3 linked regions of the Drosophila melanogaster genome follow. The protein of the gene in region 2 purifies or fractionates together with the protein of the main gene of each other region. This does not show direct contact. Each region holds a gene or a part of one and is shown on either strand. Other genes may lie near its edges.

Region 1 (12,179 bases), on a different chromosome or scaffold from region 2:
ACTGCTTGCGCAGCGCACCCTCGTGGTAGATAAAGATGGTGGGCAGGTTCTTCTCGGGGAAGTTTGGTATGCAGGTGGTGGCAACGGAGCGCACGAACTTGGTCTGTGGAAAGCGGACGGCCAGCTGCTGCATGTGATGGTGGATCAGTGCGCACAGCGGTACGCCGTTGGCATACAGGTGGAGTACCACCCAGATGCCCTCGCCGGCCTTGGTTACCTCGTTGACATAATCCTGTCCTGAGATCTCGCGCACTGATCCAAATCGCGCCTTTTCAGCGGTGGCCCTCATCTCGGCGATGCGTCGCTGGCGATACTGCTCTAGAACAGCCTCGTCCTCGGAATCCTCCAGTTCGTCGAGTTCGTCCAGCGACATGTCGTCGATCTTCTTGTCGCGCTGGCCTTCATTCAGTGGCAGATCTGTGCGCCGCTGGATGGCATCGTCCATCAGCTTCTGGATCTGATCCTCTGTGATCTCCGCCTCCTTCGCCTTGGGCCCAATTATTCCCTTGGCTCGGAGCACATCATTCCACTCGGTATCTTCGTTTGGGTCCTATGGACAACAAGGCCACGTGAGTTTCATTTCATTCATGATTTTCAATACCAAATATGGGGTTTATTTTTGGATGCACCAAAACACACCCACCATTACCATTTATCGAAATGGAAAAACCTTATTGTTCGGATAATAAATATAATTTGCTTATAACAGTCCATCTTACCTGCATGTTTTTTGATTATAGTTCGATGAAATAAATTACTTAAAAATATAAAATTCTTGATCGCGTGCAGCGCTTTTATAAACTAAAAATAAAACTGAATTATTCTACACGAAGTGACTCATGACCAGGGATGGAGCGAATACCGATACATCGTACGCGCACAGTCACTTAGAGATGATAGGGAAGCGATACCTTACATACGTTTGAATTAAATATTAAATATTAAATATTAAATATGGTAAGACATACATAAATAAGCACATTTATTTATAAATTCGAATCAACAGTTTCAAGAAATCATGTCGACATTGGTTTCATTACAATATTTAATACGTACATTCTACTTTAGAGACAATTGTCTCTTTTAAAAGTTTTTCTTAAATATTAAACAGAAATCTATTAATGATATGGATAAATATTCAAAACAGTTTTTTCGGCATTTAATACGAGTTCAATTAAAACACTATTAGATGTTACTAATTAAATTATTTTCTTTTAATTTGAGCCGGTTATTTGAAAATTAATATTAACTTACAACACAACAAAACTGTTAACCGAAACTAAAGAAATAGTACTAAGAAATAAATGCCTTTAAAGCTGATTTTCTTCACCGAAGCTTTACATTTAGGAGACGCCATGCATGCATAAATATTTTTTAAAATGTTCTAAGCTCAGCTTAATGGCAAGATAAATTCCCTATCTAACAATTATTGGCTAGCACTTTTTGTCCTCCATTGAGGAACCAGTATGGTTCCCAGATACCTTGTAATAGTGGTTAAAGTTAATAATACAAATCAGGTCACCGATTTCCTCCTGGTAACCAGAAGCGGCCGCCTTGTTGCCCAAATAGATGAGATACTGCAAGAATTTCTCGAACTCAGCCTCTTCCTGCTGCAGACGTTTGAAGCGGGGGTGCACAAAGTAATTATCTTGATCCACAATAAAGGACTGCGACTGAATGACTCTGAAAAACATTTAAATTAAAGAATAAAATGAATCAGCAGACTATTTAAGACGTAAACTCACTTGCAAAAGCGTAGTATAATCACTAGGATATTATCAATGGTTTCCTTTACTTTCGCACTGCGTCGATTTAGCAGTGCTAGGAAGGCTACCCGCTTTAAGTAGGCAACATGCTGCTTGTACAACGCCTCAATGGAATCGGCTGTGCACAACTCCTCCTTGAAGCTCTTCCAGGTGGACAACAGGGCCTTGGCCACCAGATGCGTTTGAAACGAGGTCATGAAGTGCGACATCTTGTGGCGCATCATCTGCATGTGTCGGAAATGAGTACATGTCCGAAGTTCCGGTCCCAGAAGCTTGCCCATTTGCTGCAGATACTCGTAGGTTCCATCCAGCACGAAACTAACGTGACGAAGCTTCAGCAGATACCCGAAGATCTGGCCATATTTTGAAATCGTCTCCGAGCTGATCACCATGTTTAAAGGCCAATCAATCTTGCAGTTCAGCTTTAGCATAGAAGTGGCTTCCACGGACAGGAAGTTGAGCGTATCCGGGATGGTGGTACAATTGAGGGTAAGGTTCTCCGATACCGTCGTTTCATCCGCCGAACAAGCCGCCAGCGCATTGGTTAAAATGGTGTCAAGGATGCCCTTCTGGCTGAGACTTCGTGGCCCAACGCCCGCCCTTATTCTTCCTAGAATTTCGTTCGTGAGTGTAGCTCCAAATTGACCGTCCACCAGGAAAAAGTAGTTTCTGAGCTTGCGGAAATGCTCGTAGATACGCTGCTCCTGGAATATTCTCAGCACTTCATTTCGGAGCAGTCCGTAGTATGCGTTAAGGGGCGCCATTACGGAGAGCTGCAGGCAGCGGCGGGCCATAAACGGATTGCAAGCCTCGGGCAAAGTGCTAACTTTATCTCTGTCCTGTTCCGTCTCCCTTTCATCTTTCATTCCAAAATCCAGTTTCGGCAATAAGCTAGTTGGTTTAGCAATTGCAAGAACGGGCTTTGGCAACTCCGGAGACAAACTTTCAATGCTCCCACTAACATTGTTATTATTAGCAGTGTCAGCTATTTCTGGTAGTTCCCGTGGCGACGGATCACCGAAATCCACATCGGAAGTGGTGGACATTGGAGTTAGCACCGCCAGGGGAATTTCGACGTGAAGCTTGTCGATTTCGAGAGGCAAACAGGGCGTGGCCTTTGTTTCTATATCCGTGTTCTTATAACCTAGACCGAACTCGGTCTCCATAACCCGAAGTCGATTTCTGCCACGTTCAGTATTTGAGTTCAATAGGGAACGCAATCGATGGGTGTGCTCATCTTCGGTAGAGTTAAAACTGAAGAAGCCGTCATGATGCTCGTTGCGCTTGCGGTTTCGCTGTAGTTCGGTCAGCTCTTTCGTGTCCGGGCAATTGAGATTAGCATTAATATCTTGAGGAATTTCTGCGTGCAATCCTGAACTCGTGCTGGCAGCGGTTTTAAGTAAGTCGGACTCTTGTAGATGTACCGTGGCATGACACTGTTGAAACTGGTCGGAGGAGAGACCATGCTGGCGGTTTCGATTGAACTCTGCTTGGGTTGTTGGATGCTCGTTAGAATTTATCACGTCCGAGTGACTCCGTTGATACTGAAACACATTGGGAAGTGAACACTCTTTGCCACGTGGTTGGTCCACATCTACATCCGCTTGATATTCAGCTTCGGGCTGTTCCAATGGAACATTTAAAGTCTTATCCAACTGTTTTGTTGCCTCATCCTCTGAATTTTCTGTATTTGCATCATCTTTATCAGAAGATGATTCTGCTAGACAATCTGGTTCCTCAATGCAGGATGCAAAACTGAGATCGCTGACTGTGCTTCGGTCAGGACTGGACGACAGGACAGCTGCTAGCTGCACCACTTTCTTTTGCAGCTCTTGCTTTTCCCGCTCCAGGAGCTTATCCTCCATCCGTTCGCATTCCCGCTGAAATGCAAGTTCATTAACAATGTCCTGACGCCGCTTCTCTAAGTGATTTTGCTGGATACGTTCCTGCTCTGCGTTTAACTGATCGTTCTGGAGTTTTTTCTGGGCATTCGCTTTTATTTGGAGTTCACGCTGCTTCTGCGCCCACGCGTCCAGATGGGCCTGCGTTCGCTTCACCATTAGATTGGCAAATACACGCTTTGTCGCCATGCGGTCCTCGAAAATGCTTTGCATGCTGCACCATCCGAAACGTTTATAGATGATGGCATACTTATCGGCCAGGTTGCGGCGCATATTTTTGAGTTGTTGCTCCGTTAGGCAAACCACAATATCCGGGTACTGCACGTCAAAAACGGGGTGCTAAAAAAAGAATAAATCATTATATATGGATTCTAGTTTTGAATAATCTTCTGCATACCTGAGCGTTATATGCCCTTAGCACCAGGTTGTATTTGCCACATTGAAGAATTTCCTCTTCGCAACCGACTAAAAATTCAGGAATCGCCTCGTTGTCCACTTGATAGCTTTTGTCAAAGAACTCTTTGCTGCACTGGTTTGTAAAAGACGGTGAAGTGTTCAGACAGCGGCTGATGAAAATCTCGTTGACCGACTCGTCTAGTTCACCATGGTAGATCCATCTCTGTAGCTGAATAAAATAATTACGGGATATGCAGCGCAAGAAATAGATGAGCAGGTGCAGGAAGTCTTTGTTTCCGCAGGTGTCGATGGCCAGCCAGATGGAGCTCAACAGGAAGGAGCCAGTTATCCCAGTGTTCAGGTTTACTGCATTAATGTATATAAAAGAGATTAATTCTGAAATAATTTCGCGTCGCGGCATTCTTACATCTTGGTTCATTTTCGAACATCCTATCTAGTTGGCAGAGTAACTGAATCGCTGTGGAGGTGTTGTTTAGCAGCTGGAAAAGGCTATCGGCTTGCAAAGAGAGCAAAAACTGCCGAGTGGTGCTTAGATAGTCCATAATCGTCTCTCGCATGGCCTATAAGAAAGCATGGGATTGTTGAATATATCACTACTGGAAATAAGGTATTCAATCTCACTCGATTTAGAGGCCTTTCCAGCCGCATTTCGGCGATATTGTTCCATTTGGTGCGGGAACTCAAACGCAGGAAGGCGCAGCCGGCACGAATGAAGTGATTTGCAAAATCCGCCAGCACCTCCGGCAGCATAGTTGGCAAAGTTGTGTTGGGCCTCACTCGCAACTCCAACTTATCTGCCGACGAGATGGGAAACGTTAAAGATTCAATACCACACGCTGCTTTCTTTAGGTGATCGATTAGGGTTGCTTCATCTAGGTAGTTGAGAACCAGGTTCTTGTTCCGGAGGATCTTAAGTTCGTTGGTCAACAATTTATCCGAAACGAAGTGCTTCTCCGGTCCAGGCTGGGCCACAAAAGGTCGTTCATCCTCTAATGGAGCTACGACTTTTTTCGCGAGCACTGGCAATCGGGGTGGTGGATGCATTGGTTTTTCCATTTCGTTCCTCATGCGTGTAATGGACTCTGATAATCCCATGCGAATTACAGTAGATGGTATGATCTTCGGAATTAGCTTTTCTGGCGGAAAATTTATATTCAGGTTACTCGTTGTAAGAATATCGGAGTATGGCTGTAGTTGCAGGGGTTTCAGGGCGCGATTCATTTGATTGATGTCGGGAAAGGCCTTTGGATGAAGTGCCTCCTCCACAATCTCTATGGTTTCAATCAGCTGCAGTGGACCTGCCTTGATACGTTTGATCACCACTTCGGACTGGTTTTCCTCATCCTGGTCCTGTGTAATCTCCGATTCTTCCTTATCCTGTCCTTCTAGCAGATTTTGGAACCTGAGCAGCATGTCCATCCGGTCTGGGTTCTTTGCCACCTCGCTGGTCACCTGGTGGAGCATCTCCAGCTTGTCCTGGGACGACATCGTTTCACTGTGAAGCAGCGATTCATAGATTTTGGAGCGCTTTTTGGCCACCAGCACAGCTGTTTGTTTTTTTGGCTTCATCTCATCGGCCACCAGCATTGTGGCCATTTTGGTTACCAGGTCGAGGACGCTGTGATTGCATTCAGCCACAGTTGCCATCGATTTGGCTTTTAATACTCAAAAACTAAAAGATATTTTCCATAAACAAAACATAAGGACTAGGCTCGGTGTGACCGCACCACAGTTTCACAAAAATCCGACTATTGCTACTTCGGCGTATTTCCGTTATATTTTAAAAATACCTTTTATATGTTCATTAACCCACTATTGATTTTTAACCCTTGAAAATTTTGTTTTCATCTGTAGATATTGGGATTCTTGGTTTCTCTTGATTTGATATTTGATATTTGATATTTTTTTCTACAGGTTTTCGCCATCTTTTTTCTACTAAACCAAACATCTCGATTCGTATTCATACTTCAAATAAAAACACGTTTTCGAAATGTACACTAAATTAAAAAGTTTTAAATATATTGTTTTTTTGCTCTTTTTACAAATACACAATATTCTCTGTTTCGCTCATTGGCTTACAGTTTTAGCTTAATTTTACATACCTTAGTTTTGTATTCGTAACACATTTAAGACATGCAGAACTTGAAATTGAATCTATTTTAGTTTTGCCGGTTTTTCATTTCTATGCGATTTACAATTAGTTTATGCCATGTTTTCGTATTGAACGGTTGCCTATTCATCTGAACTTGCGTGGGAAACATCAAGAAGTTAGCTTTATGGCCAACGGGGTATAATTGTTCACAAATGGGAACGATCTGTGTCGACTGTCCACAGATTACTGCAATGGTGTTGTTACGGCTAGGATCAGTTGGCCAGGTGGTGTGGCCTGCACAGATGCCGACGGACCCGGTGATTCCTCCTGCTCGAACTTCCTGTCGTGCACGACCACGTTCCCCATCAGTACGAATCATGAAGCGCTGTTCGTCTCACCGTTGCTGTCGTGGAAGTTGGTGCCATTGACGATGAAGGAGGTACCCAGGCCGTACAGGTGTCCGGAGTACTTCGCATGGTCGATGTTGTCCTCGAAGAACATCTGCAAAGATTGTAAGTTTCATTAGGCAGGTACAGAACATTGGATCGTTTTTCGAATGGGACAGCACAAATGGGTTAGAAAGCAGTTTCTGGGTAAGTATGGTAATTATGGGATGTATCAATGCGAGCAACTTTAGTTGGGAGCTACAAAGCGTATAAAGCACACATATTTCTACGGCAGCAAAGTCTTAGAAAGTAATCCCAAGTAGATGGGTGGGTCCTACTTGTAGATAGGATTTGTTACATACCGCAGAACCGATGTGATTGGACGAGGTTTCAATATTAGTAAATTTCATATTTAATGAATGTTAGTATGGGATGGGATTTATTCTGCAATGTTCTTGTTATTTCAAAACTATTCGGCAGTTCTCTAGAAGATAAAGGTCTTGGTACGCTGATACACACAGTAAACCGTGTGGAAACATATGTCAGCAAAGCGCTTAAAATTACAAAAGAATAATTTGTTAATTCGATATAAATGAAGAGCGTGAACTTAACATAAATTAAAATGAACATCAATACAATTAAAAAGATGTCATATGAAATCAAGCAAGCTATGATATGCATATGCCATGCCCAAACACCAAAGAATGCAAATAAACATTTAAAGAAAATTAATTCCAATTCATTTAATTTTCCATTCGAATCCAGCGCGTTTCTCATTTCAATTCGTATCGCGGGCATTACAGCTAAATAAACATGTTTCACATGGGTTTAACAGCTCCAAACTAACTACTAAGAACACTTCAAATTATGGATTTCATTCATAAATTCTGGGTCACTGGCTCTGTAAATTGTGCAGGTCACAAAAAACTAAGTACATAGATGAGTTATGTATGAAAATGCGTTATGACAACCATGAAAAACCTTAAACCTAAGGAATAATGATTATGATGGGCGGAGGCACGTTACGTTAGCAGTGGCAAGTGCACGGCAACACCAGCGAGCGAGCTGTCTAATCATCCGAAGCTATTCGAAATAGACGTATGGCGATTGGACAGCGATGCGGCATCGCTCTTGGCCATGCCGGGCGTATTAGGAGGTGTAACCATGTAGGCGCTCGAGGTGAACTGCTCGGTGGAGTTGGTGTTGCCTGTGCCGTTGCCACTGCTGATTATCGCAGATTCGTCGGGGGCAGGGCCCCCATTGTATGCCGGACGGCTCAGCAGATGGATGCAGCTGATCGTCGGCTTTAAGTTCATGGTGTGCTCAAGCAGATAGCGAAAGAGTACATCGTGCGCCACCGGTGTAATGTGGAAATCATTTGTGTGCTGTACCTCACGCATTTTGAAGAAGGCCATGCCCGTCAGCAGAGCATCCGAGCCGGCCTGATGCTGGGGGCCCACGCGCCGCAGTTCCAGCTGATCGGCAACCTCCTGCAGGCCGCCTTTCAGGTTCTTGCACGACTTCATCAGATACTTGATGTCGAAGATGTTGGGAAAGTAGATGTGCAGCAGATCGAAAAATTCAGATTCGTCCGGGGGCAGGTTCTGATCGGTGAGCAGCTTTAGAAGGTAGCCAAAATCGTAGCCGGAGTGGAAGCACAGCCACTTGATGTTTTCCACCAGCACGATGCCAGAGCTCATCAGCAGTTCGGCGAAGTCGATGGGATCGATGCCATCCTCCTCGTGCTTCTTGAACTGAATTCCGGAGTTCTGCAGCAGATCGATCGAGTCCTGCGCATACATGTCCTCGCTAGGGAAACAAACGATAATATAGGACCCCCCATTAGAGCATAAACAAAACACTTTTACCTCAGGTTAAACTTGAAGTTGAACTGCCAGGTGGAGTAGCCGGGTGGTGTCTTTCCATCGTCGTCCATGAAGGTAAGGCCCAATTGGATAATCCGCAGCAGATCGACATTACAGCGCAGCAGCTGGTAATGATAGTCCGCCGTGGAGCGGAACTCGCCGACTGGACGTGCTACCACGCCTGGAAACTCGGTGTCCATGGCCACATAGTGGTACTTCTGCACCACTTTCCGTATGGTGCGGAACTCCTCCTCCAGGTTTTGCTTCCACACATCGCGGATGCCGCACTCCTCGTTGCTGGGTATGTGGGCATGTGGCGCGCCACTGATGGCCGAGGGCATTGTCTGGGAAAAGTATTGGTTGTGGGTCAAACTACTTGTAATGTATACATATTTCAGTGTATAAGTGTGTATATGTTTGTGTTTGTTTAGTCCTAATTTAAGATGTGAAATATTAGTTTTCGCCATCAATGCTATGATTAGTTGATCAAGTCCTATCATTTTATGAAGCATAGTAAATGCTCCACAATGCAGATTTATAAGGCACAAACAAACTGAAGAACGTTTTACAAACATTATGAAACCTTTGTTTATAATGATGGTTTACTAATTGTTGTTTATGGTGCTCAGTTTTCGAATTTGTTTAAACATCAGTGTAAGGTTACCGATATCGAATATTTCCATAGATAAGGACTAATCCCAGTGTCTTGTGTTTTTGTGTATTTATGTGGAGGTAAGAGTTAGCAACATAATAAAATAGCTGGTCCAATTGGTTAAGCACGATAGCGCAACTAAACAGGAGGTTCACAATTGAAGATTGGCCAATATCGATGTTAGAAGTGCACGAATTTTGCTGCTGATACGAGGAAACAACATAAAATAAAATCATATCGAAACAAGGCAAGTGAAGGTAACGATTTTTTGGAAATTTGCTTGGAGGTGGTTACTGGAGTGATTGGGTTTACGATGGCCGCTACTTACATCGTCGCCGGACGTCGCCTGGTGCGCACCCTTCGCCGCCGGATCAGCCACCTCTTCGCACTGACCTACAACCAAGCCTCAAGCAACAAGTTCCACCTGGATGTGTGGTCTTAAGCTCTGATTCGGGGGATCAATGCTCCTGATCGAATGCAGGGGTATCGGAATAATAATTCAATCTGCCTTTACAGGATTATACCTATTGCACCTATGATGTATCGCATGCATTAACACACCTTCAGATAACACTGGGCAAGTTATTTAAAGCTGATGCTGCAATTAGACAGCATTAACATGACTTAATTTCTAACTACAGTGTGAGAAACATTTCCCTCATTGTACACAGGTTATATTTAAGGTTTTGAAATATGCAGAAAAGTTCTCAATCGCTGCTCTACCCTTTATATGTTGTATTAATTAAGATTTGGTATGCTTTACCAATTATGAATATAAGGGCGTTTAACATAAAAATATGATTTTAAGTCACATCATAGCAAGTCAGAAATTTCCATACGTTTTTGAGCATTTGCAAGTGACACTGAAGATTTGAGGGTGTGAATTTCAATCCATTTCGAAATCGGATTCATAGTGCAGGCTGGGGGGGGGGGGGGGGGAAATCAGACAAACACGAAAAAGTGACTATTTGCGGAAAATGAAGAAACCGAAAATAAATAACAGTTAAAACGCCCTAAGAAAACTGCACACACTCGCACACACGCTCACATCACACCGCACACACACACACACACACACTTGCAGCGGCATTGAAGATGCATTTGCAATTGCAGTTCGTTTTCGATTTGCGCCGTGGAAACGCAAGGCTGTGGAAATGGACCCACTCGTGGTTACCCTCGCAGCTTACCCATTTCATAATATTTGATGGCCGACCGTGTAGGTTTCGGCTATTTGCACAAATTAAATGTTTCTATCGGCGTCGCTTGTTTTGCGGGGGGGTGATGGGGGAGAAAGCGGCGAGAAAATAGCTGTTATGGGGCACTTCCGCTTCCTGCACGGCGATCGTTTTAAGCGCACACTTCAATTGGCGGAGTCCTCTGCGTTCGGCAATAATTTCCAATGAATGTTTATCAGCGAATATCGTTTGTGAGCCGCGCAAGTGCCATAATAAAAAATTGTTCGCGATTGCGGCAGTGAGGGTAAACGTTCGCTCTTCGATTCAAGTGCTGGAAAACGTGTAATTGCTACAAATATCGATAGTTTGGCGACTTTAGTGGTGCCCATCTTTTGAATTTTTAGTTTCTGTTCATAAGCATAGTAATTAGAAATCTAAATTAACAAAAAAAAATGGGTTTTGTTGTATTTAAATATTAGGCACTCAGCCACTTAAGTGCTGCCAAGCCCTGCCTTTGACTCGCTATAGCAGCCGCCTAGAGGGCGCCAGGGAAACTATGAAAGTTGGTGAGCGATGGCAACACTAGACTTTCAGCTGTTCGCTGACAGTCAAACAAATATATTTATTTCAATTTCACCGGTAGAAGTGGTAGCTTTGTGATTTTTTAACTTTAATGTTAAGTGTTAAAAGTTGATACAAAAATATAGATCATAATAATCAAGTAAGAAATGTTACTGGATTTGTGGTTTTTCTTTTTACGTCTGTCCCACTTTCCTTTTAACTTGACCCATTTGTTGTTGCAAATTCTTGAGGAATTGGCTCGCGTTATAAATAAACAAACAATTGAATCAACTGTTTTCTCAGTTTGTTTACGTTTATACCAATACAGTGCAAAACTAGTTTTTTCACACATGCCAAATTAAAAAAAGAAAGCAAATAAGATAAATAAAGCTCGCCGTCTGTCAACAATCGGCAATTATGTTTATACATACATACATACATGTACGTACATCGGTACATAACGACTGATCTCTCCAATTATTTTGGTTTCGTGGACCCTCAAAGAACGGATTTCTCCAGTTTCTTCAAAGGGTTAATAAACTTTTCGCACGTTTCGCATTTTTATGCTCAATCCGGTTACAAAATGCTGATAAAACCACTTGAACTACACGTTTCCGTACTGATAAGGGCTTTTCTTCTTATCTGACCTCTGGAATTCAATAGTTTACCTACAAGGAAGGAAACTTTCTAGATTGTGTTGCAAAAATGTCAAATTTATTTAGTTTCTATTTTATATTTAAATATTTACAAACCGATCCAACAAGAACGTTCCATTTAAACCTCCCCTTTATAGGCGTTTTTAGAAAATCATTCTAGTCGCTCTAATCGGTCTGATTATTTTAAGATACATTATATTCATTACTTATTTCACAATGCTACCTAATAGTTCACTAAACGCTGTTAAATTGTTGACTGTCGATTGTATAAATCGCATTATCATTGCTTTGTGGAACTAATAGCAATTCTAAACTCGCCATTCTTTCCACAAGCGATTGGCAATATTTGCCATTGTGGCGTTTGCAAATGACATAACAAACAAACAATTTCGCCATAATTATTGGCTCTAAATTGAAAAGAATAGTTTGTAAACAAAGCGAAATTCAATTAAAGTGCACATTGTATCTCGTGCCTTCGGTCGAGCAATTTGATCACGTTTTAGGCGACCCGAACCAATACTTTCAACTTCGCCAGTTGTTCAGCTAATTGAGGTGGTCGTGTGATCACTGATCAGGAATTCTTCGTTCACGCGATCGTTTTTCAGTCTCTGGCCAGCAACCGAACCGAATTGATCTTCCCCAGAGCTCTCCGTTCTTTCTAGAATTCTAGAAGAATTCGAACCGAAAAGAACTCGCATTTCGAATGGA
Region 2 (9,948 bases):
AATGCAATCTGTTTTTACAGGAGGAACTTGCTGCTTACGAAGCTGGGGAGACATTTGTCCAGTTCTTCATAGTGCAATTGGATGGACTACTTAACTCTTTTAAGAACTCGTTGAGTCCGCGCAACTATGATGCACTCGTTAGCATTTTGGCGACCGAAGTGACTATTCAATTGGAACGGGCTATTAAGAAAATCAGCTTTAATAGAGTATGTATCTCAGCAGGTCAAATTTACCTTGTGGAATTAGAATAATAATGGATTATGTTCTATTCAAAAGCTTGGCGGTTTGGTGCTTGATCAGGAAGTTCGTGCCTTGGGAAGTTATCTAACAGGAGCTACATCGTGGTCGGTTCGAGATAAGATGACACGTATATCCCAAATAGCTACGCTCCTCAATCTGGACAAGATTACGGAGCTATCGGAGTACTGGAATCCGGAGAATAACAAAGAGATGTCATCTTGGCATCTCACACCTAACGAAGTTCGCACATTTTTAACGTTAAGGTAAGAAAGTTTATTTAAAATATAACATTTTCTTCAGTTTATTAATCGTTTGTTTGTTTTTCAGAAATGACTTTCGTATAGAAGACATTAAGCGGCTACAACTTTAGGCAAAAACATCGTATTCATGCGGACGTATTATGACTGGCACTGAACCAACAATTGAAATCCAAACGCAAAAGCAGCTGCGAAAGCGGACCCAAACAAGAAGCTGATTTTACATCGACTAATAGTTGGATAAGGCTCGCAATTTGAACACCAAAACTATAAGAAAACAACGTTTTATTATTATACAATAATAACCCACTTATCCAAAATGTAAAGACATACCTTTCATTAAGTTGGTCGACTTCATCCTCTAAGTCATCAGACGGATCTTTCGTTTGGGTCATATGCGCAAACTTCTCACATATGCCAAAGAGTTTAAGAAGGGTTCCATAAATGGGATTTCGGTTTTGGCTCCCGGTGACATTCAATTGGGTCTCTGATTCGTTAAGCAGGAAGCAATGCGAAAGAACATTTGCCAGAAATACAGTGTGAGCCCTTTGTATAACTTCGAAATCACTCCTGCTCTTGATCACATTCATCAAAATTCCAAATTGACCTGTAACAAAATGTGAGTTATTTTCGATCAATTTCGTATTGCGCTCAAAAACTCACTTTCCAGCACATCAACTTGAATGTAATACTGCATGTTGTTCAGAAAGAACATTAGATAGTTGCGAAGAGTTATGATTTTGTTATTTGGAGGCACATCCTTTGCACTCTTCGCCCTCCAAGTCTGCTTGGCCCAGACCCTTTGTATTTCGTATTGATATGTTCGAATGATCAGTAAAAATCGGAATATATTGTTGTACCGCTCGATCGTTGTTGGGGAGAACAAAAGATTCAATGGCCACTCATACTCATATTTTAGACTGAGGCCTTGCAGAAAATTAAAGTCGGAGGTATCGTCTGGTTCAGACGTGCTTCTCTGGCAGATCAGTGAAAACTTGTCCAAGTCATCTGTGATTCCCGTGACAGTAGCTGCCAGCTGAGTATGAGTTAAAAATGTAAATCTAAAATACATATTTAACAACATTATGCGTAATTAGTACCTCAAATGATCTAGTGACGTTTTTAAAACGTTCTTCGCGATAAGTTTCCATGGTACCGACCATTTGGGAGCAGAACTCCAAGTAGAACTCTCCTCTGCCTAGCAAAAAGAAGTCCTTAATCAGTCCCATTTGCCGCTCCAGATCCACTTCGTTCACAGCGATCTCCGACAGCCGGGCGCTAACGTAATTCTTGATATCGATAATAACCTTCTCGAGGCGAAACACATTGATGGTGTCCTCGTTGCTCAAATCAACGACCATTTTGAAGAACTCGGACTCCCTGCCGCTCCACAGCTGATAGATATCATCTGAATCCAATTCAGCCAGTTTTGCCGCCAGTGGGTCGGTTTTGTTTTTAACTTTTACGTTGCGCCCCATTTTGAAGACCAGCACTGTTTGTCCCACGAACAGAACTTTTTCGGCTAAAACGATGGAGAAAAATCCTGGCAGCTGAGACATATTCACCTCATATTGCCATATGTAATCCTCGGGGTTTTTCTCTGCGCTCTGGATATAGATATGCTATTTATAATATAGGGTAAGGATAATCGCTTGTTAAGTTGTTACCAGAAGTGAGCAAGTGGCTGATTTGCTGAATGAGCTACCATCAACTGCATCCGTTGGGGTAAACTTAATAAAGAATTCCGAGTGGACATCGTCAATCACTCCAAACAACAGCCAGTGAGCCAGGCTGGAGAAAAATGCGTTCTTAACAGGCTTCATAATTCTGCATAATGAAGAGCATTTGGATTATGGAAACAAGGCGTTGTGTGTTGGCTATCACTTGCATCTTGATTGCTTTTTCCAGTTGAATATCGCCGTGCTCGCACTGCTGATGTAGATTGTGGAGCAAGACGCATCCTCGCAGATTCAGCACATGGATCTCTGTGATGAGATTACGCATGAAGACCAGAAGGGGGAACTTGGCGTACAGGGCATTGTAGACATATGAGAGCGAATTGCGCTCGTTACCCAAACAATACTTCTCCAGACGTCCGATCTCAGCGTAGTACTCCTCCAGAGCCATTTCAATGCCCTTGGCCAAATTGAGCAAGTAGTAACCATGCAAACTATCTGCGATAGAAATACACATTTGAAATCTTAAAAACACTATGCAACCTTCCATTTATACCTGGAAGTTCGCCATGTGTGTCGGACTTTCTTCCCGATGAATGGGTAAACTGCTCAACTTCTTGGTAAACCTTAATGATTTTTATAATGTCCATAAATATCTCCCGCTCGCAAGGATGTATGAACTGGTCAATGACTGTGGTTTCCTAGAAAGTTCGCTTGTAAGGCTTTCGAAATTATTTATTTCCAACGATTTTACTTACATTGAATGCCTTTATACCCAGCTGCTCCGGATTGTGGCTCCGGCAAGCCAATAACAAATCGTGTATCATTGTTTTGCTGCTTTAATTCGGTATTTGTATTTCATTTGCGCCAGATGTCCGACAGAGATGACACATATCCTGCCCCGTCCGTTATCGATAAGAACCAACTAATCGATAGAATTAGGGGCATTCCCTTCCCGCCAACTGATTGTGGTTTTAAATTTTAAAAATTCGCAGAACTGCAGTTAACTGAAACCACTGTGAGCAGAGTGTTCAGGTGAAGTTCTTGCAAAGTATTATCCAGGATAGTTGGCATCCTAGGACATCCACTGCACGACGATAAATAATACTCCACGAGGACATCCCCTTGCACCGCAAAATGATAAAGTAATTCGGCAAAGTAATAAAACAATGCTACAAATGAAGATAAAATGGAAACACAATTTGTTAAACTCTGTAAAAATATTTCTTTTTACTAAAGCGTCGTGTTTGCAATCAATTTTTCCTTTATACTTTATCGTAATCAATATTCGAATTACACGCCCATTCCGGCAATTCGGTTTCGTACTCCCAACCAACGCCCTGAAAATAAGATTTAATTTGAAATTAAATCTTTAAAAATGTATAGTTTGAAACTGACCTTGTATTTCCATGCATGCAAGTACATTATGAGATCCTTTGTGCCGGGGTCTCTGTAGTTTATCTTGCATTCAGAACATTGCGGATCCGAAGTTGTCTTCTTGGAATCAAAGGACCTGTCTGGTTCCTCATAGCACGTTTGGGTGGCAATCTGTGCAGTAGCCTATAAGCATTGTGTTCTCCAGACTTGTACAACTATTTTAAGTTACTTACATCGTTACTTGGTTCAAGGTTTTTTGAAATCACAGGCTTTTCAGTTTCACTATTAATAGGAGCCTGAACTACTGAGGGAGCCTCTACTACTGAAGTACTTGCTGCTACGTCTTTTATTTCCCCTGATACGATTTGATCTCCTTCCAAGCCCAACCAGTTTTCTGCATTATGAATGCTAATTAGGTTACTGATCAACTGTTCCTCGGTTATTCCACCGATATCTCCTCCTCTTCCTTTCAATGGACCGAAAACTTCATGGTTGTACAAAGGATCATTTGAAATGGGATAGCCTGTGAAATACGAGTGTTATAATTGAATGGAATTATCTGGTTGTCACTTACCCAAGAATTGTAAATGCACTCGTATTTGGTGCATTCGTCCTGTTAGTGGTTTGCACAAAACAATACTATCACTGCCCACCTCGCCGATTCTTTTAAATGTGGTCTTACAGTCCTTGCCCTTCGGTGAAACCTTACAAACACCTATTTTGTAGCTCACGACGTCGATTTTCTCATTGCATTCAACTATGCCACTACGAAAGATATGAAAAATAAGCAGATATATAAAAGATTAGATGCATTTTGGACTTACTCTGGAAAGCGTCCTTCAACGCGGCAAACGTATTCCTTTTGCACTTGGCGAGTTCGGATTTGCAGCTCCAATTCGCGGGCTTTTTCAGCAGTCCGTCCAAACAAAAGTAGGCCAGATGTGAGACGATCCAATCTGTGAATGGTTCGCAGGTTCTTCAGATTGTGCTCCTTGGCCAGGATGAAAACTACCGTGTTGTGTCTATATCTTCCACAAGGATGTACCTACAACATACGATTGTTATTAAATCAAATTCCTTCCAAATTAGTATACCTACCGGTATCGATGCCGGCTTATTCACAACCACAATATCCTTGTCCATGTACACAATCTTGATGGGCTGTGAAGTAACAGGGACTTCGTGTCTAGAATGCAAATGTGTGCATATTCAAATGAGATTTCCTGCTGATGCTTACCTATGCACCACATTGGCCAGCAGATCATTGTGCTTGATTTTATAGTCCTTGGGCACTTTCTCAGAGTTAACAGTCAATTTTCCCGCTTCCAGGCTGCGTTCATATTCCTCCGGCGGTGCGGCTCGAAATTCGCGGACAAATACATCCAGAATTTTCTCATCAACCCAACGTCCTTTGGCGAACGTGGTGAATGTGAAAAAATAAGGATACACCTTCCGCAGACCTATAGATTGCAATTTTATAACAGAATATCTTCTAAGTTGGTTTATTAATATGTTGGCCATACCATTCTCAAAATAATACGATGTTTCGTCGTATCTTTCATCGCTGAATCCAGGACGCTTCGTTTTTAGACTATTGGCCTCTAATTTTACTTTTTTCACATGCCCTTCGTCATCTGTGCTGCTAGCTTTTCGCTTTTCCGACAAAACTTCTTTTGATTGCGTTTCAGACTTTTCCTCTGATATGGATATCTGTAAGATAAACCACGACGGGTGGTAATAGTTTTTTAAAATATTTTCAGCTTCATTGAATGTCTTCTTTTTATTTTTGAGCAAAAACACCTTTAGTTCTTGCTTTAAACTGAACAATTGCTTACTATTTAGAAAATTCGTTTAGATTTGAGGAACTTCACTCTTGAAGATACAGAAAATACGAAAGCCTACCGTGCCAAAGTCATCATATATGTATCCTTATCAGCTTATCAGCTCTTAACACATTGGAGCCTTGTTTCCGGTGTTTGTGTGCAAACAATTCCTCGTTTTCATTCTGCAGCCCAAGCATAATTTTCAGACAGACTGTTTGTTTTTTCCTTGTTGCACACTAAAAGGAAAACAAAAACTACAAAATTGGCTGCGAACCAGTAGTATTTTGTTGGTTACTGGTCTACCAGCCAATATGTTCTAGCCAGGAAGCAAACATAGACAAAAGTCCATAATAAAACAGGTCTCTTGAGTTGTTTAAGGGTTATGCAAAGTTTAAAACTATAAAATACAAACATTTTTTATCATTTTTGTGCTGCCCTCCCTTCTCCACATCTCAAGTGCCATAGACATCATTGATTCTGCGTCGGTCCTCGTAGTTTCACGAAGCTCTACAGCAATTACCTTAAGAATTGCAATTACCTTAAGAATTGCAGTGACCTCTGATCCTGCAGAGATTATTCTAAAGCTGTTATCAGCTAACAATGGGTTTCGATAAGGTTTTTATATTGTTAGGCGGTGTTTTTAAGACTAGAGGAGCTAACTCCCTTGGGTACTGCTTCTTGATACACCCTGATTTCATCCGGATCAGCATCTTGGAACTTATCCAACTGGAGGATAATGACATGCTCTTCTTCCGTCGCCTTCATTGGCTCATGTTTCTGTTTCCACATGCTCTTGATGGCACATTTCCAATCCGTCCACACCTGTGCGCATAATTATCATACAAATTGGATATCATCGGCGGCTCCCCTCACTTGCCGCCAATTCGCATTCTATTTTTATCGCGCTTTTTTGTAAACAAACCCACGATTTTTCTTTTTCTTCACATTAACCTACATTGATAACAAATTCAACTTAGCGTTGCCAGATCAATTCAATTTGGCGCCTCGCAGATATCTCAACACATTCGAAAGTGCCATCTCTATGGGTTTTGTTCCCTTTATGGTCTTAATTAATATATATACTACACAGATTTTACATATTAATGCAATTGTTATTTTTATTTATTTCATAATTTTTTGTTTGTCCTTGGCTATTAAAGTCAACATAAATAATGCTTTTGATTGTTCCAAGTCAATATGCCACCATTATTATGCCACAAAAAGAAAGTTAAAATCATTAATATTACCTGTTAATTATAATTAACAGAGGGGATGCAATCAAACCTTATTAAAAAAAATAGGTATTGTGTCTGTGCAAAAAGCCCAACAAGAGTTTTTAAAGTGGCAAGATTTGGGAATATTTGATATGTTCGAATGACAAGGCTTATGTTTTCTTAACAACCACTTTTCTATACATTTATTTATTTAGTTAATTGCGCAAAGTGTGCCTGATCCGCAAAGCCACTTAGTCCACAGGCAGCCTATCTTCCCTTTTAATTCCTCAGTTTGATGGCGCAAGCCAGTGTCAGTGGAATGGAAAATGGAAAAGGAGTGCAGGCGACCAAGTCTTAGAGGGATTTTCCTCTTCCTGCAAACCAGTAACCGCCATCCGCGGCGGTTTTCGTAATGCGTGTTTACATGGTATTGTAAGAATTATAAAAACGACTGGCCCAAAAGGCGCATCGCGGAAACAATGAGGACCGCACTTAGGATACCCACCCGCCCGTAAGCACGAGGCACTGACACTAATAATTGCGGAAACATCACGACCAACAGACCAACTTGACAAAAGTAGCTCGTTAGGCAGCCACCGCGCGAGATGCCGGGACACTAGAAACCCACTGAAACCCCACCCAAAAAAGAACTAATTATGACAAATCCGTGGTAAAATATCTACGAAGGCAAGTGAAACGTGTCCGTCCATTCGTGCGTCCAGTTGGTCCCCACACATAACTTAACTCCTTGCAGACGACAACCTCGAGCTATTTCCCTATATACATATATATACATGTATATAATGTATATGCGTTTGTATACACTCCGGTTTTTAGTTTATTGATTAGTTTAATTAGCGAGAGAGAATTAGGAATGGGTCTGGCGCTTTAAGTGTACACTCTGGCTAAATATTTAAGGCCATTTGACACTGTCACGTACGTTGAGGTGGAGGAACCAGCAAACAAAAAGCCACGAAACTAGCATGCCTGTACCGGTTTTTGTGGGCCATTAAGGGTTTTGTCTAAAATCTGGTTTTTGTTGCACATCTTAGCAAAGCCCTAAATTTTTAAGAATCTACTGACGCCTAGGGGTGGCTTTAAATTTCTATGGCGGCCAGAACGTTGACTCTTCCACTGCAGGCACTGACTGCAGTCTCGTTTATTGGGGCATTTGTGACTCAAAGTCTCGTAAAAATGGCTTAAATCTCCAGGTACCAGGGTGCAGCTACTCCTCCTGGCTCCACCGCATGTTTATATACAATTTTATGACTCTCGAAACTTTAAGGTAATAGAATAAAACTGAAATAAACCCATTTCTTTCACTCACATGTGTGGGTGTCACGCAATGCTGTTTGAGCTTTCTTTCATTATTGTTATTAATTAGTTTGCAACTTACTTCGAAACTTTTTCTGAAGAATAAATACAAAACAACACTTTAAGCTTCAATCAAAAACCTAATTTGCCTCTAGTTTATTACGTCAATTTAGAATTAAACTACTACAGTATGAATGAGCTTAGATATGAAGAGCATTACAACAATTGAAATTGTACCTAATTAATTGTTTAAATTAATGCAGCAAATTGCATTTGCTACTCCCTGATTAGCTTTTTAATTAAGTTTTAAGTGTGCGATTGGAGCTGCTGCATTGAAATTTCCCTCGACACCAATAATACTGCATAAGTGAGGACAGGAATCCGAATCCACACAATTTGCGAGCAGACCGGACTAAATTGTTTTGGGCATTCGATTCCCCCAAGATAAATATGCTCTTTTACTAGCTGCGAATCGGTCAAAGTTGGAGAAGTGGTCGCCAGCCGCGGATTCCTCGCTATAAAGCGGGTAAATAAATGGGAATTAATAATGGAGGGCGACACGCCAGGGTAAACAAATATGCATTCAAGTGCATGAACAAAACGGCATTTAATCAAGTTCAGCTGGATTTTACACATAAATATATTCCTGAATATACAATATATTTCTAACATTTCTGTAATGTTAAAAAATTATAACTATACAGTATATAATTTTAAAAATTTAGTTTTCTTTTTTATAAATACACAAGGTATACTCAGCAAACAATGCGGATCATATGTAATTATATATTGTATGATATCTTGATATATAATAGTAACCGGATCTATGTACTTAATAGAATGTCTTATCTTATCACTACTCACCGGTGGATCTTTGCTTTCAGCTGGACTACCATCCTTGTCGTCTGGACACCACACGCATTCGGGGGAATCTTCCCGATCATGGAGATTGCCATCCGAAGTGGGATTTGTGTATAGCATATGGCGGTGCAGGAATATGTTTTCCACGTCCACGGATGAGGCATCTCCATGCTGGGTTTGTGCATTTCTCAAGAGTTTGGAACTCTCCATTTTCAACAGCCACGAGAATTGTTTATAGTTTTTGATTTGCGGCCAATTTACTAGAATATCTAAGCAACGCTATAATAATAACAACAAGTTAGTCAACACGTGCGCAGATTTCAGTTTCAAACACAAAAACACTCTGCTTTATGCGATGATTCAATTGAATGAGTTAAATGTTACTTTAATTCATAACACAAACACCACTTGCCAAACGAAAAACGTCCCTAAATTGCCGCAAAAACCGCATGAAAATTACGTTTTTATGCCGAAAGCAAGCAAAACCAAAACATTGCCTATCGATAAGCGCGCGAACCACTGATTCGCGCCGATTGAACTTCATTAGGGGTATTTGCACGGAACTTACTGGTTTTTCAAAGCCACTCGAAACCGTTTTCGAAATGCTGAAGTTCAAGATAGGATATATGATATTCGTTAAACTAAAGATATTGCGTGAAAAACCAATACAGATTTAAATTGTAACAAAATGTAAGAAATCGCTTCCACCAAAAATGAGGCAGTCCTGGGATAATGATAATGGCTTAACGTTTTTGAAACCTTATCTTCAAGCTGTTTAAGTTCTTTTAAAATAACACCCAAAATAACAAGCACTCGAATTGAAAATCCAAATTAGCAGCAGTCATAAAGAAGTTAATTTATAACTGCCTGCAATATCGCAAATAATATACGACTCGAGTTGGCATTTATCCAGCCTTAAGGCTTAATTACATTAACGTGTGTTCCCATATTTGGTAACTGCATACATGTGTGCGAACATGCATGTGGGAGTGTAATCGGAGGCCCAGCACACCTTTCTATATATATATACATATAAATGTTATATACAGGTTGGTAAGAGATCTGTGTTGTTTATAAACACGCGCATGATGGGCATGTTTAGAGGCAAAGCTTTTCTATGAAAGCGAAAAAAAACGCGATGTCGTCATTTTTAGTTTTGTCCAGGCGAAAAGTCAATTTAGAACAG
Region 3 (10,977 bases), on a different chromosome or scaffold from region 2:
CATCATCGGTGAGTCATTGCTGTTCCATTGCCAGATTCCATACGCGGTGACGTGCACCCTGGTTGGTTGGTTCCACAAAATCAAACTGTCTGACTTTCGCAGCGCTGGCGAAAACAAAATAGGGAAAACAATTCAGATTAACATGGGAATGCCATAATTTTATTTATTGATAAGCCTTATCGCTGTTACTATGATTCGAAAATGCGTGATAGTTAAAAGTTTGTCTAAAAGTTTTTATTTGCTAACTTGCAAATTGGCATTTGAAAACGGTTGCCATTTGAAATACATATATCTTTTTAAAACGCTTTTTTTTTTAGCTAGAAAAACGGTTTTTAACTATTTTTAGTTTTTAGTATTTAGTTTACTAAATACTTTTGGTATTTACACGCATTGCGGTTAGAAAAACGTTAGCGTATTGAGTAAATTATTGTTTGATTCGAGTTTTTGAATCTAAAACACTTTCAAATACTTTAATTTAGCAATTGAAAGTGTTGAAATTGTTAAAGTAACTTAGAATTGTAAGTAACTTTGTCTATTTCAATCTCAGTTCAAAACTTCTCAATCTAAAGCTGTAATTTTTGTAAGTTCCTGCTGTCCGATAATTTGAGACATAAAATCGCGTTTTATCCCATGGTGCAAACCTGAAATCAGGTTTTCGTACTAAGCCAACTCGGATTGGATCGAAGTGTGCGGAACTCGAGCTCTCTGGCGGCTCTCCAAGATCCAAGACGCCAGCTGTGAGGTGGGTTAAAGCTCTGACCCCTTGCACCACCCCCCCCGTAACCCGTTCCCCCCGGCGAGTGGGGAAACGTAGTCGCGCACGGCACTTTGCTCAGCCCAGTTTCCATTATCGCCGCGTCGGAGGAGAAGGCCGTCCGATGGCGAGCTCAAGTGTCGCACGAGTGTAGAGTAGTATTAGAATTCCGAGCGCAGCTCGTTCGATAAGATAAACAGCCGATATTGGTGCCCGAAACTAAGCAGGTGGCCAACTTCGCTTGCAGATTTACCAATCAGTCGGCGTTCGAAGCGCATTGGATACGGAACCAATCGGAGAGCTAAGGAGAGCAGAAACGCAGCAGAGCAGAGCAGGAAATTAGAGGACGGAACAGGACAGAACAGGAGCACACGATGGCAGCCAGCGAGGGATCGGCGGCGCGCATTCAGTTCAAGGCGCTGCGCGGATTTCCGGCCATCGGCGATACCGCTGATAAGCTGGAGACACAGGCCTTTCTCGACGCCTCCAAGGAGATAGTAACCGTCATAGGTGATAACAGCGCACCCAAACCGAAGCCAATCAATTCAACTCACTGCTATCTATTTACCATTTTTCATTTTTCAGAGAGCTTCGGCAAACTATTCACACCCGTGATCAGCGACATGAACGGAAACATAAACGTAAGCTTTCCAAGATCTTTAAGATCTAACACGAAATACATACATATATATACATGTGTACATTCGTTTTCATTGCCGTTTATTGCCGTTTCAGAAACTGACGAAAGCCTACGGAGCGGATGTGGTCAAGTACCAGTATCTGGAGGATCTGATCGTGCTGAACGTGAACGTGGACGACTTTGCGGCCAACGCGCTGCTCTGGCTGAAGCGCGGCCTGCAGCTCATATGCACCTTCTTCGAGAACATCTACAACGATGCCCAGGCCAAGGAGGCACTTAAGCAGCATCTGCAGGACGCGTACGAACGCACATTGAAGCCCTACCACGGCTTCATCGTCCAGAGCACAATCAAGGTGGGTGCATCGGGCGGGTATCTCTCACTTCCTTCGCTAATTGGGCGCTCATTCCCTCGCTTGCAGATCATCTACAGTTGGGTGCCCACGCGCAGCCAACTGCTGGGCCAGGGTGTCGCCCAGGCGGAGAACATCGAGGTGCTGACCAGCTTCCTGCCGCGTATGCGCGCCCATCTGGACTCGATCGACGCCCTGCTGAAGGCGCACAACTTGGACGATGCACGAAAGGTGTGATCGTTCCTTAGCCTAGCCTAGCCTAGCTTAGCTTAAATAGCTTATCCTACTTTATTATTTATGCCCATGTCCAAGTAAAACGCAGAGCCTTACTTATAAACCACCTGCTGCACAGCTCATCACTACGATTCCGGGTAGCGTCGCACGCGTCGCTTTTGCTCATTGGTCGTGGGTGTGCCCACACTGGCGGATTGCTGCTGCTCCTCCTCATCCTCCTCCGGCAGCTGCTCGTTCCCTTCTAGCGGCAGCGGCAGCTTACAGCCTGGCTTGCAGATAACAAAGTGCACCAGAGACACGATCACCTCGAGAACTATTAGCGCGAACACGGCGTTCGTGATGATGCGTAGCCACAAACTGCGTCCGGCAGCTGAGAGGCGAAGAAAGACCATGGCGGGCAGCAGGATGCATGGTGTCACGGTGAGCAGCATCCACATGGCGGTGGCGCCAGAGCACAGGTTCACCGAGTAGCCGGCGTATAGGCGTACGGATTCAGCGGACACCGCCAAAACGTAGGCCACCAGCATGGACAGGCCCTCCAGGTTCCACAAATGATGCAGCTGCCGGGGACAGACGGAAGCTGATTATGACCGCACATGCCGCAGGGGGGGGGGGGGAAGGGGGTAATCTCAAATGAAAACTTACGCGTATGAGCATGTGGATCATGTAGCTCATGGCCCACACCATGGACACATACGTGTTGGCCTGCAGCAGCATTTGCAGCACCAGGTTGGCCCGATGCGGCGTCACCGAGTACGCCATTTCGATTGGATTTTCACCAAGCACTCTCTAGGCACTGCACTTCAGTTCAGTGGCAAGTGGCTGCAACGTTTGTTGTACTTCCTGCTGGTTGCCAGGGCAACGTAATCAGCTGGAAAGGACGCTTCAGCTCTGAGTGCTGCGACTGCTGCCGTTTGCAGGACCTAAGCTGCCTGCTCCCGCACTCGAAAAGGTCCTGCCGCAAGCTCCTTCGATTTAAATATTCAGCTACAGCCTGTCTCCAAACTCTTTTTGACATGTTTAAACTATTGGAAAGGGTTACTTTCTGCTCCAAATATGTATTAGCCTAACATTGAGGTGCTGCAGATTGAAGATTGAAGGAAGGCGGAACACATTAGCGCCACGCCAACCATGAGAAACCAGCTAAACGGGCGAAGCGAAACGAATAGAGCGGCGAGGCGGCAGAGATCAACGGACTATGCGACGGCAAGGAGTGCATTGCTGCTGTCTGGTGGCCATCGCCCTGGCCATGGCCATACGCCAGGTGTCCATGGGCATCAGCGCCAGCGATCGCCGCTTCCAGTGCCTGCAGACGCGACTGATAGGCCAGGCCAACTGCTCGCCATGCGCCGATCTGTACGTCTTCAATCGCCAATCCGCCTACCGGCGCTGCGAGCACGTCAACGGTAATTGCTACCCACATCGCACGGTCTTCGCCAGCGCCCGCATGTGCGAGCTCACCTGCCAGCCGTACATCCGGCGACCCACGCTGCACGAGGTGACCACCCTGCCGCCGCCACCACCGATCGTCGAGCCCTTCGGCGACAGCGATGAGGAGTTCGAGTGAGGTTTTGTCAACAAAGATAAGCTGCTTTTAATTCAGTTGGTATGGGAATGTTTGGTCGGGATTATAGGTAGTGGTGCAGGTGATGGTAATGCGTAATGTTTAACAAGATCCTTTGTGGAGGAGATTCGATTCTAATGGGGCACACTGGAGTTGATGGTCTCCTCCAAGGCAGACACTGCAAGACGAAGTGAAAAAGAGTAAGTTCAAATGTCCAAATTTCGGGACCAACAATCACTTACGGAATCCGTGATCGTTCTGGTGCACCAGCGTGTTAAGGATGTCGGCCAGCATCTGGTGGCAACGTATGTACGTTAACTCGATCTCCGCCACCTGGTTGAGCGCCAGGTACTCCAAGCTACGACGTTGCGTTTCGCTGTCATCAATGCCGTCATCCGAAATGGTGACGTCCAAGCATAGGGCATCGTGGTCGTGCATGCAGCTGGCGCAGGTGGTCCACTCCATGTCCAGCACGTAGACCAGATGAAAGATCTGGTCGAGGGCGACGCGGAATGCCTTAAATTCGTCGGTCAGCATACAGTGTGTCTTCAGCCACGCCAGGTGCTCGTCGTGCATGATACGCAACTCGCGGACATTCTTGCACTCGCCAATCCTGAGCTCGAACTGCCGGCTCACGGCCTCCATAATGTGCGCGTGCAGGTTGTTGATGAGGAAAATTAACCAGAAGCGCACAATCTCCAGGCGACGAATGGTCAGACCGATCAAATCCAGTGGTGCGCAGGGATTGAACCTAGCGCGACGCAAAAACTGCATATTCTCCAGCTTCCAGACGGCCCACTTCACCTTCAGCATCAGACGCCACACCGAATTGTAGTCTTGCATGTGCGCGGGTGTGAGAATGTACCACTGGTGCATGGCCATTGGCCGCTCGAAGTCCAGTTCAATAGCCTCCAGGGCCTCATAGACCTTGATTGAATTCGAGTTTATCTGGGATATTAACTTGACATGAAGATAATGAGCCAATTGCGGATAATGCGGAAGGAGCACAGCGCATAGCTTAGAAGTGAGCACCGAACCCAGTGCCCAGCTATTGTTTTTCTCCATGCGCACGAAGAGTGCGTTGTAGTATGGCACAAATAGGTAGTATTTCTCCAGCAGCATCGTATGCCGCAGGAATCGCATCTTCTCGGCCACCTGCGTTTCCTTGCAGTACGCTCGAATCGCGTACTCGTTCGCCAGCCACTGTCTCCTTCGCAGTATTTCGCGCAGTGCCTCCGGCAACTCAGACTTCAGCTGCAGACATGTGGAGCGCTCCAAGCGCTTCAAAATGTTGGCCATTAGAACGGGGTTGCTTTTAAGCCGCTCACGTTGTCGCTCCAAACGTTGTTCCACCAACGGCTGGGTAAATATGGCGAAAAGTTCATGGTTCCTAATGCCCTGCCTATTGCACACAGTCAGATCTTCGTAGTCTTTGTCCGGCTCCGGCTCATCCTCGTAATCCGTGTTGTCCGCACCACAGTAAACCTTTAGCTGCGCAAAGAACTGCGTGAACAGCTCATCGTGCAGCGACGGCAGTTGGATTTCATTGTTGCTGGTCAGCATTTCGCTCAGCGTATTTACACTACATAGCAAATCTTGCGTTTCGCCAGACTCCAAGGCATGCTCCAGCAGTAGCTGGTAGAGTGGGCAGGATTGCAGCTTGTTGAAGATCTCCACGAGTAGCAAATCATCCTCCATTCCCATATTTCGTTTGCGCACGTGGCTACGTGTGTTCGCATCTTCCTCGTAACTATTAAAAACAATGTAGTTATGACTTCAGCTGGCCAGAGTGATGTGTGAGCACCATTTTGGCTTACCAAAACTCCACGATGAACTCGCGAAGGTGATCTTCCAGCGCGGCCCTGCGCCACCAGCCGTCGATGATGATACAATATCGCTTGAGAGATATAAACAGCAGGGCAGTGGCCAGCTTCTGGTGCGGCACCTGCAGCAAGGTGTGCTTATACAGTCTGGATAGCAAGTAGGCACTGCGTATGTGCGCAGGTCCCTTATCCAGGATGACATCTTCGGCCAGCTCTCGCAGTAAGCGCAGCTGGCTAAAATGTTCCCTGAACTCAATCGTAAAACGGATCAGTGTATTTTTCGCTGGATCCTTATTGACACGATCCTCGTAAGCGATGAGGAGCTGGCAAATGGGCTGGACAAGATCTCTCAGGCCGTATGCAAAGAACTCCACGGTGTATGTTGTCTTTACGCCATGAAAATGCAACGTATGAGTATCGATGATGTGACGCAGTTCCATCATGTCCTCCAGCGCAGGCACCACATCAAATAACAGAAAATTTTGCATTGTGCTCTACAAAAAAAAAAGCCGGACTAAAGATAGAGTTACACATTAACGATTCGACTTTCTTACCGCAGTCACCGTACAAATACTGACATTGTCACGCACAGTAATGCGTCGCGTGGCCTTGTCGAATTCAAAGAAACAACAGCTCGCTGGACGCACAAACATGAAGAGGATCTCCCTTAGCAGACAGGGCTCCGTGATGGTTTTCGGCACTGGCAGGGCCAACAAGCCTCGGGCATTGTGATTCAGAAACTGCACGTAGCTGACGGCAAAGTTGTCCAGTGGCTTAGCACTGGAGGGCAGGGCGTTTAAATGGACATCTTGGCACCACCAGTGGGAATGGATTTTACGGAAGAGCGTATCTGTGTTGCCACTTTGCCAATATTGGGTGAATGGTCGGGGCGGTTGGGGTGGCGGCAACTGGAGCAGCTTGCTTCGTCTCAGATGGCTGCCCTTTAAGTTGTTGAGGCTTAGAACAGTTGGTTTCATTATCCGAAAGTCGTAACTCCGGATCACGCTCTGCTCGGGCGGCATATACGTTTTGTTAACACTTCCAGTCGGAACGACTGCCATCATGGCCTGCTCGTACACCCTGGCCATTTCCAAGAGGCTTCGCGAGACGCCAATATTTTCATCGGGCTTCAGAGTAGTTGTCGAGTCGCAGTCCGACTCCTCCGACCAGTCCTTTTGGAAAGAAGGTAAAGGTATTAGTATGCTGCAAATGATTTTATGGAAAGAACAGGCTACATATGTGTAGCAGATGACATATGTTTGGGGTTCTCTAGATGCTCACACTTAAGCTGTCCGAGCTGTCATCCTCTGGCGGATCCAGAAAATCCTCGGACAGCAGCGCTGCCCAGTCCACCTCCGTTTCGGAGGTATTCTTGGCTGCCTCCAGTTTCGCCTGTTCCTCTATCTGTGCCTGTCGCTCGGCTTCCTCCATGCTATTAATTATGGACAGACGGCGCTGTTCCATGAACTCGCGGTTCAGCCGGATCTTTTGCACCGGCCTATCGGCTATGCGAAACAGCAATTCGAGCATTTGCCATCCGGGGTTAGGATTGAATTGCTGTTGATTTTCGTCCATAGCCAAATACCTGATGGCCAAGTCCTTGATGCTCTCACCAAAAGACGCCATGCCCTCCGCCCGAAAACGCTCTGCCAGATCGTCCAGGTTGCGTTTCACCTCCATGTCCGTCGTTGTAGGAGCCCATGTCCTGCGTTGGTTGGCGATTATCTTCAATGCCGTATCCTCCATCTGGCGCAACTTTTTCTGGCTCGTCTGCGTTTTAAGTTGGTTAAATTGGAATAGGGATAACATCTGTTTTAAAACATACCCCCGGTTCCGACAGGCTCCTGACCAGTTTTCGCACGTTCTCGTTTATGGCGGAGTTGACTGCCGTCGAGGTCTTGCCGGAGCGCTTCCGTAGGTTACCCTTCTGGGCGGGAGGAGCCATTTCGCTCCGCTTTCTGATTGAGATCCAATAAATTCTATAAATGGCGCCCTCAGCAATGACAACAACGTAAATGGTACACCGGCATAATTATCGGTTCAGTTATCGATAGCAATGGAAACAGCTGTTCGTGGATGATCGACAATCGACTTGAAACGTAAACAATTGTAAATGTTGTCATTTAAATTGAGTTTTCGAAGGGCAATATGACGACCAGCTCGCCTCACCCCACCTACGTAATACTGGGCTCTGGCGGCCACACGGCGGAGATGTGCCGGCTGACCCAGGCGCTGCTGCAACAGACAGACATCGAACAGACGGAGAAGTACCAGCCAATTAGACTGATCCTGGCCAACAGTGACTCTACCTCCGAGCGCCAGTTCAGGCAGGTCCTGCCGCAGGCTGCCCAGAGGGCGGAATTCGTGAAGGTGCCGCGCAGCCGCGACGTGGGCCAATCCTGGCTAAGCAGCATCTTCACCAGCCTGTGGGCGCTTCTCTGGAGCTGCTATCTGGTCTGGCGTGATCGCCCCCAACTGATCCTCTGCAATGGACCCGGCACCTGTGTGCCCTTCTGCTATGCCGCCTATCTGTGGCGCCTCCTCGGACGCCTGCCCTCGCACTCCAGAATAGTGTTCGTGGAGAGCTTCTGCCGCGTGGAGACGCTGTCGCTGAGCGGACGCCTGCTCCTTCCGCTGGCGGACCTCTTTGTGGTCCACTGGCCGGCGTTGGCCACGCGCTATTTGGATAAAAAGAATGTGCGATATTTTGGGCGAATCCTGTAACATGTTTTTAATAACATTAAAGTTAACATTAGTTTCTATTTAACGAATTATGTTTTGTATGAGATGTTTTTTGTCCTAGCGCTTCTTGCGACCAGCGCAGACGGATCCATGGACCTTCAGGTGTAGAGGCATGATCTCCAGGCCACATCTGGGGCAGCCTACGGTCTCTTTGAAGAGGTTGCGCTGGCGGCGCTGACGCGGAGTAAGTTCGTCCTCGCTAGACGGCAGAGTAGACGAGTCGGTAGAGGAGCTCAGGTTGAGCTTGTCGATCTCCCCTTCTGTGTAACCGGAGCTGCGAAGAATTCCTTTTGATGACTTTGCTTTCGATTTAGCGCGGCGTGATGTGGAAGCTCCCGACGAGTCCTTTGAGGTTAAGGAAGCAGTTGTTCGGCGGTTTTTAGGCTTAAACGATGGCGGTTCCAAGCGCACCATAATGGCGCAGCCATCGAAGTGATTGGACAACTCAGTGCGCCTCATTTTCTCAAAGCAAATGGGACAAGATACGATGTCGTTCTCAATTCTTTTGGCGTAGCTTGAGCAACTGGGCTGCACGTCGTTCTCACGCTGGAACTCCTTCAGCAGGGTGTCCTCTCCAAAAATATCATCTATAATGGATTGGTCAGCTAGCTCCGTGGCGGCTGTTAAAGATTCATTTGCGGCCACCTCATCGTCGTATTCATCATCAATTAAGAGGATATCGTCCTCACACAAGGTCAACTCATCCTCCATTACCTGGCGCTTGATGATCTGCGTGCGCTCCTGACTGGTCATGGTTTTTCTGCCAGCTGGCATCTTCATCTCCTCTTCATCACTAGAGCTTTCGACCAAGTTGACGATGGGCGTATGAACATCCCTGACCATTACGTCATCATCGTAGGACTCCCAGTTGATTATCTCGCTGTCGCTGGAAACACGACGCCTCTTTTTCTTATTCTGTCGCTTGTTGGAAGCATCTTCGCTAAAACGCTGAAGTCGAATTTGACGAAGTTTAGCGGAATCGGGAACATCAGTGTCACTAAGATCTATGTGTTCTATAGCGCTAGAGCCACCAAGACTGTAGCCCTGTCCGCTCATTTCAGTGGTGGCTTTCGAACCTGATTTGTCCAGTTCATTGAATCCGCCGCTTTTGTTGCCTTTTGTGCCAGCAGCTGGTGTCTTGGGCAATGCAAAGGGTTCGGAAGAGAGTCCGGGATAAGAAGTCGGCGGCACCGCCTTCGCCAGATCGCCTAGTAAGACTGTGCCGGTGGCCGCTTTCTTGGCTGACGGCTGGCCGAACCAGTTGCGTATGTCTTCCTTGGGCGCGGCCACCGCCGGTGTGGACTTCTTAGCCCTTGACTTGGTCTCCGGCTTGGGGGCCTTCGGGGGTTCACTCAACTTCAAAAAGGTGCCGCTGCACTCACGTTGATGCATCTTCCACCACTGATCGTTCGGACCGGGCGCTCGGTTGCTGGTCCGCTTCACATAGCCCCAAAAGGGTGAGCGCTCTCGGCAAATGCCCGTGCAGCGCCAGATGTGGGTGCGATAGGAGGCCACCTCATCGTGAAAAGTGTGGTAAACGGTGATGTTGGTGCCCGCCACCTTATTGATCGTCTCCATGATGCGCTTGAAATTGGGTCCATGGCCACCGTTACCCTCGCGTATATTGAGCACAAAGCAGTAGGCATGGATCATTTCGTGCTGGATAAACAAAGAGGTATAATGTAATGCTAAATAGCTATGTGCATATGCAATTCTATAGGCTTGAGATGCCAATTAAGAACCTTACTGCGTGCAACAATTCTTACCAAGAGCGTTTCCACGAGATCCTTGCGCGGACGCAACTTTAGCAGCGGCTCACTGAGCCGAATGGTCACCTGTTTGACGAAGCGATTGCCACGCTGGTAGCAGATTCCAGCGCACGAGTACATCTTCTTGCTCCATTCCAGGGAGACGGCGCCCAGGCGCTCCTGGAAGAACTTCTCGTCGAAGCGTATGAACATGGCGTAGATGTCCGGGGTGGGATCGACCAGCTCCCACTCCGGATCCACCAGATTCATCGTCTTATTCAGATAGTCATCATGGCTGGCCTGAATAGCGCGCACTGGCTTCTTTTTAGCCGCTTCTCGTTTTTTGTTTTTGATTTCAGAGTTCTCCATTTTTGTCTGATTGAGATGAAAGGCGATACGATATGAGCAGGGCCTACGGTTGAATGAAATGCTATGTTTTTCATGGCACACTCACTGATTTTGGCTGATTCGATTTGGGGTAGACGAACTGAATGCTGCTGTCCAGCTCGCTAGCACCGTCCTCATCGCCCTCGTTTATTAGGTTCTGAATCCTGCGTGCCAGCTGATAGTCCCTGTCCTGCAGAACCCAGAGTGGAGAGTGTTTTTTTATAGACCAGATTACCATTTCCAACTACGTACATTGCTGGCATCCGCGGCTGTGTAACTTTGGTCTGACTCCGCATTTAGCTGGTTCTGCAGGTTCAGAGCGAACAAGTAGTCTGCATCTGACATGATGGTCGCCTTGTTGATCCTGGGCCAATCCTCTACAGAAATTAGTATCGCAATTTCGAGGTGCACAAAAATACTTCGAAAAATATTTCGCGCTTCGCCGCAGTGTGACCAGTCTTTGGGGCAAAAATATATGCGCGGTTAGTCAGGTATCGATAAGTTCGGTTATCGCGCAAAGCTTGCCTACTCTATTTATCACATTTAACGACAGTGGTAAGCGATTTGAAACTTAACAAGCGATTTAAGACTACGGTGAAATAGCGCGACACTTTTAATAATATTTGATAAAGATTTGTGCTATAAAAATTGGTTTTACATCAACAAATAACCGTGGTTACAGTTCAATTCTGTAATAGTGAAGTGCACGCTCGTTTAATATAACAATATACATAT

What was found.
Region 1: the proteins of Grip75 (region 2) and Grip163 fractionate together in Drosophila melanogaster (co-fractionation; 2 studies listed by BioGRID). This does not show direct contact.
Region 3: the proteins of Grip75 (region 2) and Grip128 fractionate together in Drosophila melanogaster (co-fractionation; 2 studies listed by BioGRID). This does not show direct contact.

Annotation. Positions count from the first base shown.
Region 1 is NT_037436.4:11,992,320-12,004,498, forward strand, and holds Grip163 (Grip163), read right to left. Parts: upstream 5,820-12,179; 5' UTR 5,732-5,819; coding exon 4,706-5,731; intron 4,645-4,705; coding exon 4,491-4,644; intron 4,430-4,490; coding exon 4,065-4,429; intron 4,007-4,064; coding exon 1,746-4,006; intron 1,684-1,745; coding exon 1,434-1,683; 3' UTR 955-1,433; downstream 1-954. Other genes in the region: viaf (viral IAP-associated factor), read right to left, coding at 1-550, 720-725; Pop2, read right to left, coding at 7,636-8,371, 8,431-8,771, 10,267-10,275.
Region 2 is NT_033779.5:10,476,410-10,486,357, reverse strand, and holds Grip75 (Grip75), read right to left. Parts: upstream 3,064-9,948; 5' UTR 3,001-3,063; coding exon 2,932-3,000; intron 2,875-2,931; coding exon 2,730-2,874; intron 2,672-2,729; coding exon 2,386-2,671; intron 2,325-2,385; coding exon 2,165-2,324; intron 2,105-2,164; coding exon 1,598-2,104; intron 1,534-1,597; coding exon 1,161-1,533; intron 1,105-1,160; coding exon 831-1,104; intron 821-830; exon of another isoform or gene 765-820; coding exon 626-764; 3' UTR 611-625; coding exon of another isoform or gene 568-610; 3' UTR 504-567; downstream 1-503. Other genes in the region: Cog4 (component of oligomeric golgi complex 4), read left to right, coding at 21-206, 277-503, 568-610; RluA-2 (RluA pseudouridine synthase 2), read right to left, coding at 3,439-3,513, 3,572-3,733, 3,784-4,073, 4,125-4,315, 4,375-4,595, 4,649-4,736, 4,788-5,010, 5,074-5,260 and 1 more. UniProt on the Drosophila melanogaster protein: Gamma-tubulin complex is necessary for microtubule nucleation at the centrosome.
Region 3 is NC_004354.4:15,464,730-15,475,706, forward strand, and holds Grip128 (Grip128), read right to left. Parts: upstream 7,391-10,977; 5' UTR 7,311-7,390; coding exon 7,191-7,310; intron 7,136-7,190; coding exon 6,647-7,135; intron 6,538-6,646; coding exon 5,920-6,537; intron 5,860-5,919; coding exon 5,360-5,859; intron 5,293-5,359; coding exon 3,785-5,292; intron 3,721-3,784; coding exon 3,677-3,720; 3' UTR 3,552-3,676; downstream 1-3,551. Other genes in the region: CG6299 (uncharacterized protein), read left to right, coding at 1,129-1,264, 1,340-1,395, 1,490-1,747, 1,814-1,981; CG15642 (uncharacterized protein), read right to left, coding at 2,104-2,538, 2,624-2,740; CG15641 (uncharacterized protein), read left to right, coding at 3,177-3,545; Alg14 (ALG14, UDP-N-acetylglucosaminyltransferase subunit), read left to right, coding at 7,514-8,089; mh (maternal haploid), read right to left, coding at 8,165-9,766, 9,874-10,230, 10,310-10,432, 10,495-10,587.